4 linked regions of the Yarrowia lipolytica genome follow. The protein of the gene in region 3 purifies or fractionates together with the protein of the main gene of each other region. This does not show direct contact. Links are inferred from orthologs where the notes say so. Each region holds a gene or a part of one and is shown on either strand. Other genes may lie near its edges.

Region 1 (3,442 bases), on a different chromosome or scaffold from region 3:
TCTGACTTCTGATACCATGTTGTGTCAGAAGTAGGTTTGAGAAGAGGGACTCATCACACCATGGCAAGTAATTGCAAGTAGTACTGTTATGTTATTATTAATAATAATAATAATAATAATAATAAATAATAAAAAAAACCTGTGGGAAAAAAATCCTACGGAATGGGACAAAGCTCACACTGAAAAAGAGATATTGTACTGGGCGTATAATAGTCGTATAGTATAAATATATTATTCAAATAAAAGAGCATATAGATCGTACAAGTTCATACTTGTACTGCACATAATAAATCAACAGTTCAAATGTTGATACTTTTACTGTAGTGTTAAAGATCGTATTCATATTACAAGTACAGTACATACACAACGTTACAGGTAGCACACTCCACTCAGCTCAATGCGGGTCTTAGTCATAGTAGGAGGACACAACGTTATTATAAATACACAGCGCAATTCTACAATCCCAGGGTTTACAGATAAGTAGTAGATTTTTAACTAACTAAGAGCTTAGTCGAAAAGACCGAATCCCATGTCGTCATCCTCAGACTCCTCATCCTCCTCAGCGGCAGCAGCAGGGGCAGCCTCAGAAGAGCCGGAAGCGGCAGCGGCGGCAGGAGCAGCAGCGGCGTAAGCCTCGGGGTTGGCAATTCGGTCCTTGATGGCCTCAGAGCCCTCGAAAGTGTAGTCAGAAGCAATGGACAGAGCAAGAACGTTCTTGTAGTTGTTGATGATGCAGTGAGACACGGCGGGGAGGGTGGGGTAGTTGGCGGCAAGGGAGATGGCGGTGATGGTAGAGATGGCACCAATGACGTTGGAGATGAGCTCCTCGTCGGTGATGTCCAGAATCTCGGAACCGAAAACCTGGCCGTTGTCGTAGACCTGAACAACAGTCATTCCGTAGGTGAAAGGAGAGATGTTCAGCATGTTAAGGAGGGTAGCCTCGGAGGGACCGACCTTGACATCCTGCTGGAGGATCTTGACATCGGAGGTAATCTCAATAGTACCTCGAGAAATCTTGGTGGGGACACCGAGAGCCTGGAAGAAAGAAGTCTTGTCCGGAGGCATTCCAGTGTTGGCGGCCTGGATCCAGACGTCCTTAGGGGCAATGGCACCGGCTCGGGCAGGGGCCAGAACTCGGTTCTCGAGGAGAACCTCTCGGATCTCCTTGAGGTCGTCGTTGGTGAAAACGAAACCAACGTTGCCTCGGCAGAGGGGCATGAGAAGCTCAGCAGCCTCGGGGAGCTCCTCCTCGAACTCTCGGAGAGCTCGTCGGACCATGGTGTTCTTACCCATGAGAACGACTGCTCGGCCTCGGAGAGTCTTTCGGATCTCATGCATCTGCTGAGAAGAGACGTTATCGACGCCGACGACGAAAATGGACTTGTACTCCTGAAGCAACTGCTTCAGTTTGGAGAAGTACTCGGTCTTCTTGATGCTGGTGCTGCCTCCCATTTCGAATTAGTTTGATAGGATATTTAAAGACAAATTCCGCTGAAGAGAAGAAGAGAAGAAAAATTTCACCAGCGAGTTATGAACTCCCAACGCGGAGTCTGAGTGGGTATGCTCAAACTTACGCAGTGCTGTGATATACTTCACCAATTGGGCTGTGTCCCCTAACCTTGATATCACGTGAGTGGGAGAACTGGATAAGGTCGGTTTTTTATGTAAGCGAAAGCGATTTTTGATGCTGCGAGAATAGTTACTTGTATTCTACTTACCTTCCCATGTCTTAAATTCACCCCTCTACTCAAATGGCTAAAATTTCTACTTTTGTTGAGATCATCGCACCCCACCATCCACGTAGGCACGCATATTTTACTAATCCGTACGTACAGCTTCAAACAAGCTGAAGTTTCGTTTTTTAAGACATACAAAACTTCGAAGATATGAAAAAGCACGTAAATAAACGTAGTTAACGTAGTGAGCGGTTGATTAGAGAGCTTGTCTCAAGTTTCTTCACTATTTGCACACATTAAGCATCATCAAACTACTATGTAGTATGTACTTGTATATATGTACGATCTGGGACACTCACTCCCCGTACAGTATGTATGTATAGAGTAGTCACATAAGGCGAGAGTCCCGCACAGTATCCCAGTGAGTCCACGTTGTCAGCGCGGAGTACACATAACTGAATGTAGGATGTGGCCAGCACAACATACATCACTATTATATAACGGTATCATATTCAATGATGCTTAGTCGTCAGTGCGTCTTCGCTTCGTGAGTTCTCATTCCTGGGTCCCAGAGGCACCTCCAGATCCTCGTTTTTGACTAGAGTCCCGGCTGCGAGCACCCTGGAAGTCGCCCCTTGGTTGTCTTCGCTTCTTGTGGTTCTGTCCACGGTTGTTGTACATTCCCTGTCTGTTGTGGGCTGCTCGAGCACCTTGGTTGTTGTCTTGGTCATACCGGCGAGCGGTGTATGTCGGTCTGTCAAACCCGCTGTGAGAAGGTAGATACTGCTGGTTGTTCGGGGACCGTCCTCGACCCTGCAAAGCCGGTTGTACAAGCATGTCCATAGGTCCAACAGTCTGGCCAGTCATTTCAACGTCTTCAGACAGTTTCTGTCGCTCGTATCGGTCCGAGTTGGGGCCAAGGACTGCCTCCTTTGCCAGGGAGTCTGCTTTGACTACTACAGCAGGCAACATTCGGGGGATCAGCTCCTCCTCCTCTTCCAGGTTACCAATCTTGATAAAACGGTTGCAGCCGTCCAGCTTGCCGAGATACTTGACGTTGGTTTCCAGAGTGTCGTAGTCATTGGCATACTCGATGGGGTAGTCAATAGCCTTCTTTCGACGTCTCTTGTTGTGAGGGGTTCGTGGATCGTAGTTGAACTTGGTCCCCACGCTGTGTTCCTGGCGAACAACGGGATCACACAGAGCCTGGAACACCATCAGGTTGAGATAGGCATCATTACCTGCATTGTGGAGAAAGGCGTGAGGAATGCAAAATGCCTCCAGAAGATAGGTGAGGTTGCCCTTGCCCTGTTTTTTAATACAACGCCAGATCTTCTCAGTGTCGATGATGGGCAGCTCAGGAATGTGGAAGTCCATCTTCTTGAGCTCGTTGAGGTCCCCCGAGATGCAGTGGCCCACATAGTAGACCGGGTCCTGGTCAAAGCCGGCAGTAAGGCCCGTCAGAAGTTCCTTCCAAACTGTTCGAATGTCGGCTAGAGGCGCCACTTGCGACGTACCGTAGCAAAAGAAGTCTCTATGGTCCGGGACGTAGTTACCGTTTCGGTATCGATCCGACGATCTCTCCTTGACAACAAAGTGCTGGGCCGAGATCTTAGGGGCTGCGTAAGGCTTGTCGGGCTGACCAATCGGATGGAACCGCATCACGGCCACTCCGATCTCCGTGATCACTCCAGCATGATGTTCTGCGGTTTCGGTATCGATGCAGATAAACACTCCACGGTTGGCTGGAGGCTGCTGTAGAGTAT
Region 2 (3,834 bases), about 2.3 Mb from region 3:
TTTCTAAGAGCCATGGGCCATGACGTCCAGTCCTGCGATAATGACCAAGCACATCTACAGGTACAGTAGGTAAACGAGCCATGAATGAGTGTATGTCCACTCCGGTGATAAAGGTCTTGATAGACTGTCTAGTGATTGAGACGGCGATACAGCCAGTGTTGTGAATCGCCGCAGCTGTTATTTGGATAGAACGGGTTGGCGGAGATATCTGATACACAGTGACCTGGTATAGCATCTAACTACTCAGTCATGCTTCGTATTGTTTCATGGAGGTTCAGCATCTCACAGAAATGGTGCCAGCTGGTCTTCGCTGGGCAGTACCTGTGCCACTACAAACACTACAGTGGTCGGTGTCCCTCCAGTCCCGAGAACCATATATCATAACAATCTATTAATGCTAACGTCCATCCAAAATATCCTAGGTGTTGCTCGTTGTGAGCTATTGCTTGCTTGCTTCATCGCATCAACATAGGCCAATTCCATGGCTTCTTTCTCCTTCTCCTTGTCTCCTCGGTCGGTTACTATCGGTTACTCGATTACTCCTCCATCTTGGCCTCCTTTGCAGGAGCCATGTCGACGTCGCCGGGAAGAACATCCTTGACCTTGGCTCCGTGCTTGTGGCCCACCAGCTTGAGTAGGTTGGTCACGTCCTCGGGCAGCTCAAAGGCAGAGTGCACATAAGGAGGAGGGAAGGCCTGGCCTCCAGTGAGTCGCAGACAGGCGTCATTGGTGAGCAGCACAGAAGACGAGTTTCGAGCAACGGGAACAGCCTTGGAAGCCTCGTCTCGGGCCCGGGCCTTGGAGTTCTTTGAAAACTCGTAGAGAGCAGCCAGAGGCACAAACTTGGCCACCTTGACGGGAATAGGCACCAGAATCTGATGGGCCAGAATCTCGCCCAAACCCAGACGGGCCTTGGCAACGTTGGACTCGACGTGGGACAGCTTGAAGGGGTAGACGGAGGTGGTAGCCTCCAGCTGACTGAGCAGCTTTCTGCTGGCCTGGATCTTGAGTCCATAGGTGACAGAGAAGTCTCGTCCGTACTGGTTGATCACAGTTCCAGACTCGTCGTAGCCCTGGAAGTCGTACAGACGGATAGCGCCCTTCTGGGGAGCTGCAGCCATCTGAATGTCGACCTGGTAGGCCTCTCCAGCCTCCACGGTGAAGTTCTCCTCCTCCTCAATGTGCTGTTCGTACAGACAGACGGCGCCCTCGGTGGACTCCTGTTTAGCCTCGGACTCGGCCAGCTTGACGGCGTGAAGAGCTCGCTCCTCCTCGCCCTCAACCTCCCAGAGAACGCCCTTGTAGTCTCGCTCCAGCACAATGTCGTGCTGACCAGCGAGGAAACGCCGGATACGTCGCACAGAAGATCCAGGCACAATCTTGACGTGGTAGGCAGCAGCAATCTTCTCGACGAGCTCTCGGATCTTGGTACCGGTGACAACTCCAACAGCCTTGCCGGGGTTGGGATCGGTCACCTGGGCCAGGTAGGCAATGACCGCCTCGGACGCCAGGTAGGAGGCACAGACCGCATCGGCAGGAGATCCGGTCAGAGGCTGCTCGGTCTCGCCAGCAGAGGTATTGGGCACGTGTCGCACAACCTCTGTTTGTGTCACCTGGGCAGTATATCCGTCAATGTAGACTCCCAGAGAGATTTTGACCAGATCGCCGGGCGCCAACATGCCTCCCTGGAACTTGTCGCCGTTCTCGGGACTCACTCCTCCCACAAACTCCTGCTTTTCGATTCGAACGGGTTGAGCAATGCCCTTCTCGGCCACAGACTTGTAGACGGCGGTGGTGGCTCGCTCGAGGAACTCGTCTCCCATACGGCACATTTCTCCCACCGTGTACGTCTCATATTGGGTCAGAACGGTCTGGATAATGTGCTGCAGACACGTCTGGGTGATTTTGCCGGCCAGACGGTACTTGTCGGTGACGGAGCTCGTCAGTGTGTTTTTTTCGTCCAGAAGCGCGGTAGATCGGGCCAGAGACATGATGTTTAGTTGTGGGTTAGATGTGAGGTCCAAAAAAAAAAAAAATTACACTGTTATGCAAGGTGGAAAAATATTTGAGGGTTAGGGCCTTAAAAGCTAAAACGACGTAATTTGGGCGGCCGGTGGTATGTTCCAGAGAAGAGATAAAGACATGAGATTTGGGCTGGAGGGTCAGGATGATGTAATAAATCTACAGTACTGTTTTTGAGCAGATTTAATTAGCTTAGGGGAAGATTGAAGCGGTGGTTTGATACGACAATTTGTTGAAGAACCTTATATTTAGTTGAGACTATAGATGTGATGTTTGTTGACCATTGGTGGCGATGTTGAGGGGTTGTCTTGTTTGAAGACTTGGAGAAATAGAGGGGATAGTGGTGGAAATAGAAAGCTGAGTTCTGGAGGAGTGGAATGATACCAATATTGGGTCTTCTTGGGTTTATTAAGGGGCATATGGTGAGTATATTGTGGGGAGCTGGTGTAGGGACTATGGTAAAGAATGTACTGGTGCGATAAAAGCTCCCATAAGTGATAATTGAACAAGAAAGCATTTTGAAGCTTCTTTGTGGGGAAGATTAAATAGTTTTTACTAATATACGACAAGATATTTATCCCGAGAAGCCATGTCAGGAACAAGTAGTGTTTAGTTGGTATTACTTAGATTTAGTTGATGACTTTCTTTTAGTTGAGCCATTAGTTGGATTGAAATTAACATGAGCAAGAGTTGCAGAAAAAAAAAAGAGGAGAGAAAAGAAGAGAGAGCAAATGAGCGGTGACGTCTGACCTGACTAAGCAGTATGTTCGTCTGACTAACCACCCACATGCTCCCTTCTCTCGAATATCGCCACACAACCAACCTCTCTATCTCATGTGACCACTATAGGCTCGCTATCAGCGGCTAATTTTAGTTTGAGTCAACGGGACGAGCTTACTAAGGGAATTAGGGGGGGATTTACAATGGCGATTAGTGGCAGTTTTGAATTTCTGAAAGGTGCATTCCATTCCTCTCGCTTAGTCGATCAAAATGGTATCATTAAAATCCCCATAGCTCCTCTCGGAGATCTAGTAACCACCCTCCCAGTCCAGCGCCACATGCACCTCGTGCATATCTCCAGTATCCCACTTGGCCATCTCCACACCACAACACACACCAAAAAAAGACACACAAGAATATACACACAGACATGTCGGCGATTTCAGGCATGGATTTGGGCGGTGCGTTCCGGCTCGCCAATATCGGCGTTGGCGCCTTGACCGTCGTTGGAGGACTGACTCAGTTGGGTCTTAGTTTGTGAGTACACGGTATGGGCGCGGGTAGGGGGCAAGTCGGAGCAGTGACTGGAGATTGAGGGCTTGAGCGACAACATTGTGTGGGATTGGCGATACAGCGGCGCTTGGGTGTCTTTTTGTGACGACAGTGGCTGTTAGGGGACCCTCAGATACAGGTACTCTGTCTACGTGATGATACGGCATCCACACACGTTGCGCATCACACTGTTGGCACTACATTTCAGAGGTGTTTTAGAAGCACTTGACTGAATGCTTCTAAAGGCTGCTGTTCACAATCCCTTAAATCATAGCTCAATCGGGCCAGCTGGACTTGCTACCTCTTCAATACTAACTCAGACAAGATGTGAGTACTGTACGGACAATGACAGCGATGGTTGCCACTGATACGATAGCCCAACATAATTGATATGCTGAAGACATCAGTGGAAATGGCAATCACGAGAGACTGTGTCGGAGCACCTATCGAGACTGTGCCGGAGCACTCAGCGATACCAGCAATATGATGAGCACCAACGGAACAACAATGAACCGGAACAAGACAACAGAAACGAGAAAA
Region 3 (4,483 bases):
TGATGAGGGTGCGAGGAAAGATAATCACTGAGAAATGCACGCCAGAAGTCATGACAGCGGTTTTCAGCAACAATGATGGAGAATTGATCATAAATATGAAAGATCTGAGCGCCTCGGAGACTCCTCTTCCCGCTTTCGGATGTCATTTGCCCGGAAAGATGTCCTTCAAGTTACAGGTTGTGGGAAAGACAGCTATTGTGGCTTTTGTAGGGGGCGAAGCGCGATATTCGAGTATCGTGAGCCCTAAAAAAGCCACGGTCCAAGCTGAGAGAGGTTGTTTATTGTTGAGAGCTCCAGCCGGGCTCTTGTTTTACGATGGACATGTGTTTGATGTGATCATCGACAGTCATTGGAGACCAATTGTGCAAAGCTCAAAGTCCACAGAAGTGCTTCCAAAGGAGTGGGATCTAAGTAGGCATCATAGGGTGGAACAAGACAGTAGGTATCGCCACTATGCCTTGATTTATAATCACAACGGTTTGGTTACTGCCCTCGTCGACTTGAAGACTCACAGACTGAAACAGTTGACCGACGTCTCGGACATTGCGCGGGAACACACTTCCCCGATAGATGTTTATCTCACGGTTGTGGGCTTATCCAACGGTTCTGTTGCTGTGTGGAGGTATACAAAGCAGTACTTGGAGAACAAGTATCGACAGCAGCATGGAGTTGATATGATACCTGAAGAGGCGAACAGTTTGATTCAAGGAATATAGAAAAATTGTCACCAGTTGTCGTAGTAGATGTCCACAATGGTTTTTTAGTATATGTACATACAGTATGTACTGTAGTCTGTATATACTGAAGTACACTACACAGTGAGTTCCTTCACCCTAGTTATACAGAGCGAAGTATGACACTTACTTTTAACAAGTCAAGCTTCGGCTGAAAAATTATGTTATTATAAAATAAAATAAAATAAAAAATAGGTGAGTGGTGCAAGCCATTAGAGAAAGTTGTTGACTAAGATCGCAAATGTATGCTTCCACTAGTACTAGTACAAGTACATTGTAATTGTAAAAGCACAGGCTCCTGGCTTTCCTTCTCTGTCAAAAGATCATGAGACTGTTCATCTTTTCCTCTTCTGAATACTCATCATGATCAGCCTGTTTTTAAGGACCCACTAGGGGTGGGAGATCACCGACCTTGTGATATGCCACTTTTGCAAACCAAATGAAGCATGTGAATGACACGAGTTCCTCTCATTAAATGTCGATTTCATCCCATCTCTTACTTGTTCATACAGGTACTTTTACTTGGTCGTCTTGTACTGTACTTGGTGTACTTGTGCATACTGTACTTGGTGTACTTGTGCATACTGTACTTGGCCCTGCCTGAATCTGCCTACAAGCACTAAGGCACCATCGTCTAACGACCAAGAGTTGGACAAAGAAGCATTATTAATCAAAATCCCAAACAACCAAAATATTACAAACCACGCAAATATCCCGCTCCACCAATTTCACGCAACCACCACGTTTACTCGCAATTCTACTCCCCAACCGCCAGTCTTCCAACCGGTTCTATGTTGCCACAGTAACAAATAAAGTTCACTGATATGATCTAAACCAAGTGAGAAACACTGGCTTCAATGAGTCATTCATACACTATAGAACCTTCAAAATACCTCCCTCGGACTCATATTTCACTGTATTATCGATTCCCGCTTTCTCTCAACGAATTGCTCCCAAACCCCCCTTTTTTCCTGTTGCTCAGTTGTATCGTGTCACACTTGCACATCACGTGACCGTGCAGGTTGAAACTCAACCTTAAAAATTATTTCTGCATCATATCTAAGGTGCTGGGGTCCTACGACCTCATCCCCCACTACACGAAATTTATATTATCTGAACATGAACAAAACACCGTTGCATTCCGATGTGGTCAAGCCCAAGGGTCCCCCCTCGGGACCCAAGCCGCAGTACCACAAAAAGAAGACCCCCAACAACACGGGACTCGGAAAGACTCTGATGAACCGAAAGGCCAAGGAAGGACGAGTCTACGTGACCGATTCTGGAGAGACCCGATACACAACCGAGGAGAACAAGGAGGCCGGGTGGGTCAAGCTGCGATCCGTCACCCAAGAGAAGGCTCTGGACGAGTTTCTGGCCACCGCCGAGCTGGCTGACACTGATTTCACCGCTGAGCGACGAGCCCACACCACCATTATCAACACCCATGACAACTCCAACCCTTACCTTTTGACCAAGGCTGAGGCCGAGAAGCTGCGTGAGAAGCAGCTGGAGAACGCCGGCAAGCTGACTGTTCCCCGACGACCTGTTTGGACTGAAGATACCACCTCCACCCAGCTCGATCGAGAGGAGAAGGAGGCGTTTCTGCGATGGCGACGAAGTCTGGCGGAGCTGCAGGAGAACCAGGATCTGCTTCTGACGCCATTCGAGCGAAACATTGAGGTGTGGCGCCAGCTGTGGCGAGTGTGCGAGCGATCCGATCTGGTTGTGCAGATTGTCGATGGGCGAAACCCTCTGCAGTTCCGATCCGAGGATCTGGAGTTGTATGTCAAGGAGATTGACCCCCGTAAGCGAAACCTGCTGCTGGTTAACAAGGCTGACCTGATGACCGAGGAGCAGCGACAGATCTGGGCCGACTATTTCAAGAAACACGGAATTCGATACGCCTTCTTCTCTGCTGCCAAGGCCAAGGAGGAGCTGGAGGCTCTGGAGGCCCGAGAAGAGGCTCAGGCTACCAAGAAGCCCGCCAAGAAGCCCGTCAAGAATGACGATTCCGACGACGAGGTGTCGGCTCTCGAGCGAGAACTTGCACAGTTTGTCCCTAAGGAGGAGTCTGAGGATGAGGATGAGGAGGAAGACGAAGAAGACGAGGAAGACGACGTTGAGCCTTCTGTCACCGAGATCCAGGAGGCCGTTCCTGCTAACGCCCATGAGGAGGCCAAGGCTACCGACGAGTCCAAGCCTGACACAGAGAACATGCACTATTCCGTCATGGCCACCCCCACATCTATCCTGTCTGTGGACCAGCTCGAGCAGCTGTTCCTCGCCGAGGCTCCTGCTCCCATGCAGCCCGCTCCCGCTGGCCAGGAACCCCGCCTGAACATTGGTCTGGTCGGTTACCCTAACGTTGGTAAGTCTTCTACCATCAACGCCCTGGTGGGCTCCAACAAGGTGTCTGTTTCTGCCACCCCTGGAAAGACCAAGCACTTCCAAACTATCCTGCTGTCACCCAAGGTGATGCTGTGTGATTGTCCCGGTCTGGTGTTCCCCAACTTCGGTAACACCAACGGAGAACTGGTGTGTAACGGTGTGCTTCCCATCGACCAGCTGCGTGAGTTCACCGGTCCCGCGACCCTCGTGTCTCGACGAGTGCCCAAGTACTTCCTCGAGTCCGTCTACGGTATCAAGATCTACACTCGTCCGGTCGATGAGGGCGGTCTCGGATATCCCACAGCCACAGAATTCCTTGTGGCCTACGCCAAGGCACGAGGATACATGCGTGGAGCCTCTCAGGGTAATCCCGACGAGTCGCGAGCTGCTCGATACGTGCTCAAGGACTACGTTAACGGAAAGCTGCTCTACTGTCATCCTCCTCCCGACTACAGAGAGGATCTGGATGACGAAGATGCCGGTATTCTCTTCAACAAGGGTCTGTACACCCTCAACCAGCTGCCTCCCTCGCGTCAGAAGCAGCTGCTTGATGCTGCTGTTCACTCTGGCATTGCTCGAGAGGATTTTGACCTTGAGCGAGACATTGACAAACTGTCTTTCTCCCAGCATGCCACTGGAGCCGGTGGTTTCGGTGGTAAAGGATTTTCTTCTCTCGGCGAGCATCTGGACGCTGACTACTTTGGAAAGAACTCATCAGGAGGCAACATGAGCACCCCCTTCCACCAGCGAGGTGCTGCTCAGGGCACCAAGAAGCATTTCAAGGGCAAGAAGGTCAAGGCCCGAAACGCCCGGTCCACCAACGACAACTACGGCGGAACCTACGGCGATATTATTTAAGCGGATGACGGCACGACTAGGGAAATGACTTGGGAAGACGATGCATTATAGATAATTATGATACGATAGTGATATGACAGTAATACAGGTGGGTTGCATTACATTTTTGGATATTGTATTACATTCGATGATAAGATGTGTGACTTCATCAGCAGCTTCAAACACGTAGTGTATAGAACATCTATAGACATTCAATCGACAGATATGTATAAAGAGTCACACTCGATATCAAATGGTCTATTCAATCAATTGATCTATATACAACTTTACTTGTGCACCGCAAAATCAATTGTTTAAGCCCAGATCCTATCAGCAGGTTTGCTGGGCGGGGTGAGAGCGTTCGCTAAGTTCATGCAGTCTTGGCTTCCTCCTTGGTCATTCGTCCTCCGAAAATGGTCGATCCAATTCTCACATTGGTGGATCCCTGCTTGATGGCTTCCTCAAAGTCAGAAGACATGCCCATGGACAGCTCCAGACCTGTGATATCAAAAGCCTGCTCAATA
Region 4 (3,912 bases), on a different chromosome or scaffold from region 3:
AGTATGATACAATACTGTACCAGTAGGTTTGTGCATGCCCCTTTTCGCGTTCTAATTAGGCAGTGTTTTCATAGACTCGTGTATTTGTCTATCGTTTGGGGGTAGGGCCGTTAGTCTATCATACTACGAGCGAATGGCGATGTTTCGAATTTATGATTGGAAATAATTAGCGTCTACAAGTACAGTAGCTATCTATACAGAAACAAGGCACAGGGTTTGGAGTCCATGACAGGGGGTCGCCTCGCCAGTACTGAACTTTTAGTCTCTGTTTCGGCGTGATTAACTGCTTCTGTATATTACGGCAGATCCTTCTCTGACGGCTGCCGCCATGACACATTGTACAAAAGACGAGTGACACAGCACATACAATACTACAATGCAGTACAAGTAGCTACAGTACGTACAATTGGTCAACCATAGGATATAGAATCCACTTGAGGGGGAATTATCATAACACAGAACACTCAAGACCAGTATTAAAAAGCTAATATACATCAATTAAATTCTATTTAATCCTGGAAGTAGTCAGCCATCTCGGCATCGAGCTGCTCCACAGTCTTCTTGGGGGCCTTCTTGGGCTTGGGCTTAGTGGCCTTCTTCTTCTGCTGCTGCTGCTGCTGCTGCTTGGCCTTGGCGGCAGCGTTGACGGTGGCCTTGGCGGGAGCAGGCTCGGGCTTGGGCTGGAGTCGGGCAGACAGAGGGGTCTTGGAAGGGTCGTAAACCAACTCAACCTGTGTTAGTATCCAAATCGCTTCGTCTCAAGCAATTATCGGCACGCAGTAGACGGCAATCAATGGTATTCCTCCTCCAGAGTAACATCTGCCTGTCCAAATAAGGCAGAGTGTCAATTTGATGGTGTCATGGTCGTAATTTGTCGTCACTGTCGCCGGCATTTCCCTCCTCTTGATTCTCTTGATCCTCCTCTGTTATGTCTAGCTGCTCACCTTCATGTATCGCTTTCCACGGTCGATGGAAGTACCGTTGAACTTGTCGGCGGCCTTGGCAGCATCACCTTGTCGCTTGAAGGTGACATTGACGATTCCGGCAGGGTGTCCACCCTTGTTGTAGACCATGGTGCAGGCGGAAATGGGTCCGATCTCAGTCTTGAAGTAGTCCTAATGGTCAGCACGAGTTCTTAAGGAATCACGTGAATCACAACGGAACTGATCCGAAAATGGGGAGCAAAGCAGAGCATAAATGAGTGTCAGAGGAATCTGACAAGGATTATACAATGTCTTACTGGCGGCTTTAACTCTGACCCAGCCAGGCTGGTGCAGACTTTCATTCCTGAGAAATCCCAGTAATAGGGACAACCTGCGACAAGCAATTTGCAACAGGTTTGCCAGCCTCCAGGGGCTGACTTCTGAAACTGGACATGGATTTTTCTTCCCTCGCACAGCTGCAAAGACAAGGCAAGGAATATGCGCAGGTCTTTGATCATCAGCTTTCAATCCGGCTCGTGTCACATTAGCAATGAGTGCTTTCGATCTTTCTCTCCATTATGACAACAAGCAAAACCCACCGCTCTCAGCTCTCTAGCAGCTGTTTTTGAAAAGGCCGTTCAGTTTCAGTTCTCGGAATGTCGGTTGGCCATATAAGCATGGCCGTGAGCGCAGGAATCAGTCCGAGGACGATCCAGATCTGCTCCCGAAACCGCGTATCACTTCACCACATTCTTCACTGGGAAGCGTCTGGCTACTCTTCACCTTATTCCTAAAAAGAAGGAAATTCGGTTACTCTTCACCAAGAATTTTGCAGAGCAGAAATACTGGCTACTGTTGAATGAGGTGCTGCCATCACAAAAATGGCAACTTCCCTTGCTACTGACTTTCGAAGAAAGCGTTCACGAATCGGTATCAGCTCCGTTGATGTTGCTGTGTGCGCCTTGAGGCTGCAGGTGCAACTGAGTCCACTCCACGCATCACTCTAGCAGTGTCGCGTGTGTGTATCTTCGGTTTAACATACTCGAATGGCGTCCTCGCCAATGTCCTGGGGCAGGTTGGAAATAATGACCTTGCTGGCGAGCTTCTTGGCCTCGTCAATGGGGTTGACAATAGCAGCGACCTTCTTCTGCTGCTGCTGCTTCTGCTGCTTGTTCTTGGGGGTACCAGCCTTGGGGGCGGCAGGGGTGGCCTTCTGGACTCCACCGTTTCCAGCAGCGCTTGCTCCTCGTCGGTTCTTTCGGTTGGATCGCTTGGGGGCAGCGGAGATGATCTCGTCGAGGGACTGGTCGAGGTTGGACATGGTTGAGTGTGTGGTGTTGTGTGGTGTGGAAGTACGAGGTTCGATTTTCGTCGGCGAGTTGGGATAAGTGGCGCTGGCAAATTACCCCAGCTCTCGGCAGGGTAACCCCAATTGAGTTTCCTCACCAAGGCCAGGGTTCAAAACGCGCTAAACCGTTGGTGACATACCCCATTTGTAACATGGTGGGAGGGTGATATATGATAGATAAATGGGTGCGTGATCAAAATAAACGTGTGTATTGTATATGCTGCATCCTTATATATGGTGGTGCTGTACTTGCCCTTGGACGGTGTGGTAAAGAAGTACACACTCGAACGTAGTGCATATCCGTATACCAGCCCCTTTCTTAAATTAAGTTCCTTCACACATGACTTGAGAAATACAAATACGAATACCAGAATTGAGGGATACGTAACTAGGGGTATTTTTGTGACAGGAACAAGTGAGAGATTACACGTGGTACTCTTGAACAATTTTAGCAAAAAACAAACTGTGATTTGTACCTCTCAAAACCTGATGTCCAGCCGTTGAGGCTGATTGTCTATAGACTAAAGCTCTCGTTTAGCCAAGCTTGGTAGGAGATGAGGTGGGCTACAGGTACAATACATACATGTGGAGAAGCCATCAGTCAGGGTGTCAAGAAGTATTTGTCTATGAAGTTTTCAAAGTCCAAATGTGTCCTCAATCCCTTTTCTGGTCACATGAACACTCTCCGTTTCAGTAAACACCCTATCTCATGTCTCAAATATACGGTTCAGATTAAGTCCACACATGACGCGTTACATCTGCACTCCACCAAAACAACAACCAAGATGGAGTATCAGGAGCGGCAACAGACACCTGAAAACGGCAGTCAACAGCCAAATGGAAACCATCGAATCCCCAAACCGTGGGACAAGAATTTTCAGCAACAATCTCACACCCAGCAGCCTTATACCCCCCAAGTTGTGAAACAAGAGCCACCCCAAACACCAAGCGCCTATTACACGCCGCATACACGATCCGCCCCAGGAGGTGAAGACATGTCTCATGGACAGCGATATAACGGATATATCAAGCAGGAGCCTGGACTGGAGGATGGAGCAGCTATCGACCCAGCTCTGTTCGACATGGGTGCCTCTGGTACTGTGTCTTCAGTACCTCCCTCAGCACCTCATTCGGGCCATTCTTCACGACACTCAAGTCCAGCCATACCTTCCACACAATTTCAGACCCCTCATGTCAGTCACAGAAATACTCCTGAAGCAACTCCGCTCAAGTTGGCCACCCCTGAAGCCACTCCCTTGAAAACAGAAACCCCTGCAGTTGTCCCTGAGACACCTGTTCACAAGATTGTGGCCACCTCCTCAGATGATTACGACGCTGTGACGTCATTCAAGATTGCAATTGACAAGATATATCCTGGGTGCTTCTCGGGAACTGCCCAGACGCTAATTGTTCAATCTCCCCTATCGTACAAACACACTTTTGGTCGTTCATGGATGGGAAAAAAATACAAGGACTCGTTGGTGGAACGACCCGAGCGGCTCAAGGCTACATCTCTAGGTGTTGGCGCGGCTATCGCAAACAACCCGGGCAAGTTTGAGATTGAAGAGTCTGTCAGACAGGCTAATTTGTCCAGTGAGCATGTGACAGCTGTCCATGGCGTTGAGTATATCAACTTGCTGG

The links.
Region 1: the proteins of YALI1_C30287g (region 3) and YALI1_B18707g purify together in Saccharomyces cerevisiae (affinity purification with western blotting; 8 studies listed by BioGRID, with this or other methods). This does not show direct contact. The link is inferred for Yarrowia lipolytica from reciprocal best matches to the Saccharomyces cerevisiae genes LSG1 and RPP0.
Region 2: the proteins of YALI1_C30287g (region 3) and YALI1_C07137g purify together in Saccharomyces cerevisiae (affinity purification with mass spectrometry; 9 studies listed by BioGRID, with this or other methods). This does not show direct contact. The link is inferred for Yarrowia lipolytica from reciprocal best matches to the Saccharomyces cerevisiae genes LSG1 and ARX1.
Region 4: the proteins of YALI1_C30287g (region 3) and YALI1_A21919g purify together in Saccharomyces cerevisiae (affinity purification with mass spectrometry; 3 studies listed by BioGRID). This does not show direct contact. The link is inferred for Yarrowia lipolytica from reciprocal best matches to the Saccharomyces cerevisiae genes LSG1 and YRA1.

Annotation. Positions count from the first base shown.
Region 1 is NC_090771.1:1,869,282-1,872,723, forward strand, and holds YALI1_B18707g (60S ribosomal protein uL10), read right to left. Parts: upstream 1,453-3,442; coding exon 508-1,452; downstream 1-507. Other genes in the region: YALI1_B18727g (uncharacterized protein), read right to left, coding at 2,232-3,442. UniProt on the Saccharomyces cerevisiae protein: Component of the ribosome, a large ribonucleoprotein complex responsible for the synthesis of proteins in the cell.
Region 2 is NC_090772.1:711,924-715,757, reverse strand, and holds YALI1_C07137g (uncharacterized protein), read right to left. Parts: upstream 1,992-3,834; coding exon 537-1,991; downstream 1-536. Other genes in the region: YALI1_C07152g (uncharacterized protein), read right to left, coding at 386-483. UniProt on the Saccharomyces cerevisiae protein: Probable metalloprotease involved in proper assembly of pre-ribosomal particles during the biogenesis of the 60S ribosomal subunit. Accompanies the pre-60S particles to the cytoplasm.
Region 3 is NC_090772.1:3,026,128-3,030,610, reverse strand, and holds YALI1_C30287g (uncharacterized protein), read left to right. Parts: upstream 1-1,853; coding exon 1,854-3,980; downstream 3,981-4,483. Other genes in the region: YALI1_C30310g (uncharacterized protein), read left to right, coding at 1-716; YALI1_C30255g (uncharacterized protein), read right to left, coding at 4,330-4,483. UniProt on the Saccharomyces cerevisiae protein: GTPase required for the nuclear export of the 60S ribosomal subunit. Acts by mediating the release of NMD3 from the 60S ribosomal subunit after export into the cytoplasm.
Region 4 is NC_090770.1:2,190,222-2,194,133, reverse strand, and holds YALI1_A21919g (uncharacterized protein), read right to left. Parts: upstream 2,245-3,912; coding exon 1,966-2,244; intron 1,116-1,965; coding exon 945-1,115; intron 732-944; coding exon 510-731; downstream 1-509. Other genes in the region: YALI1_A21913g (uncharacterized protein), read left to right, coding at 2,826-3,912. UniProt on the Saccharomyces cerevisiae protein: RNA-binding RNA annealing protein. May have a role in pre-mRNA metabolism. Component the TREX complex, which operates in coupling transcription elongation to mRNA export.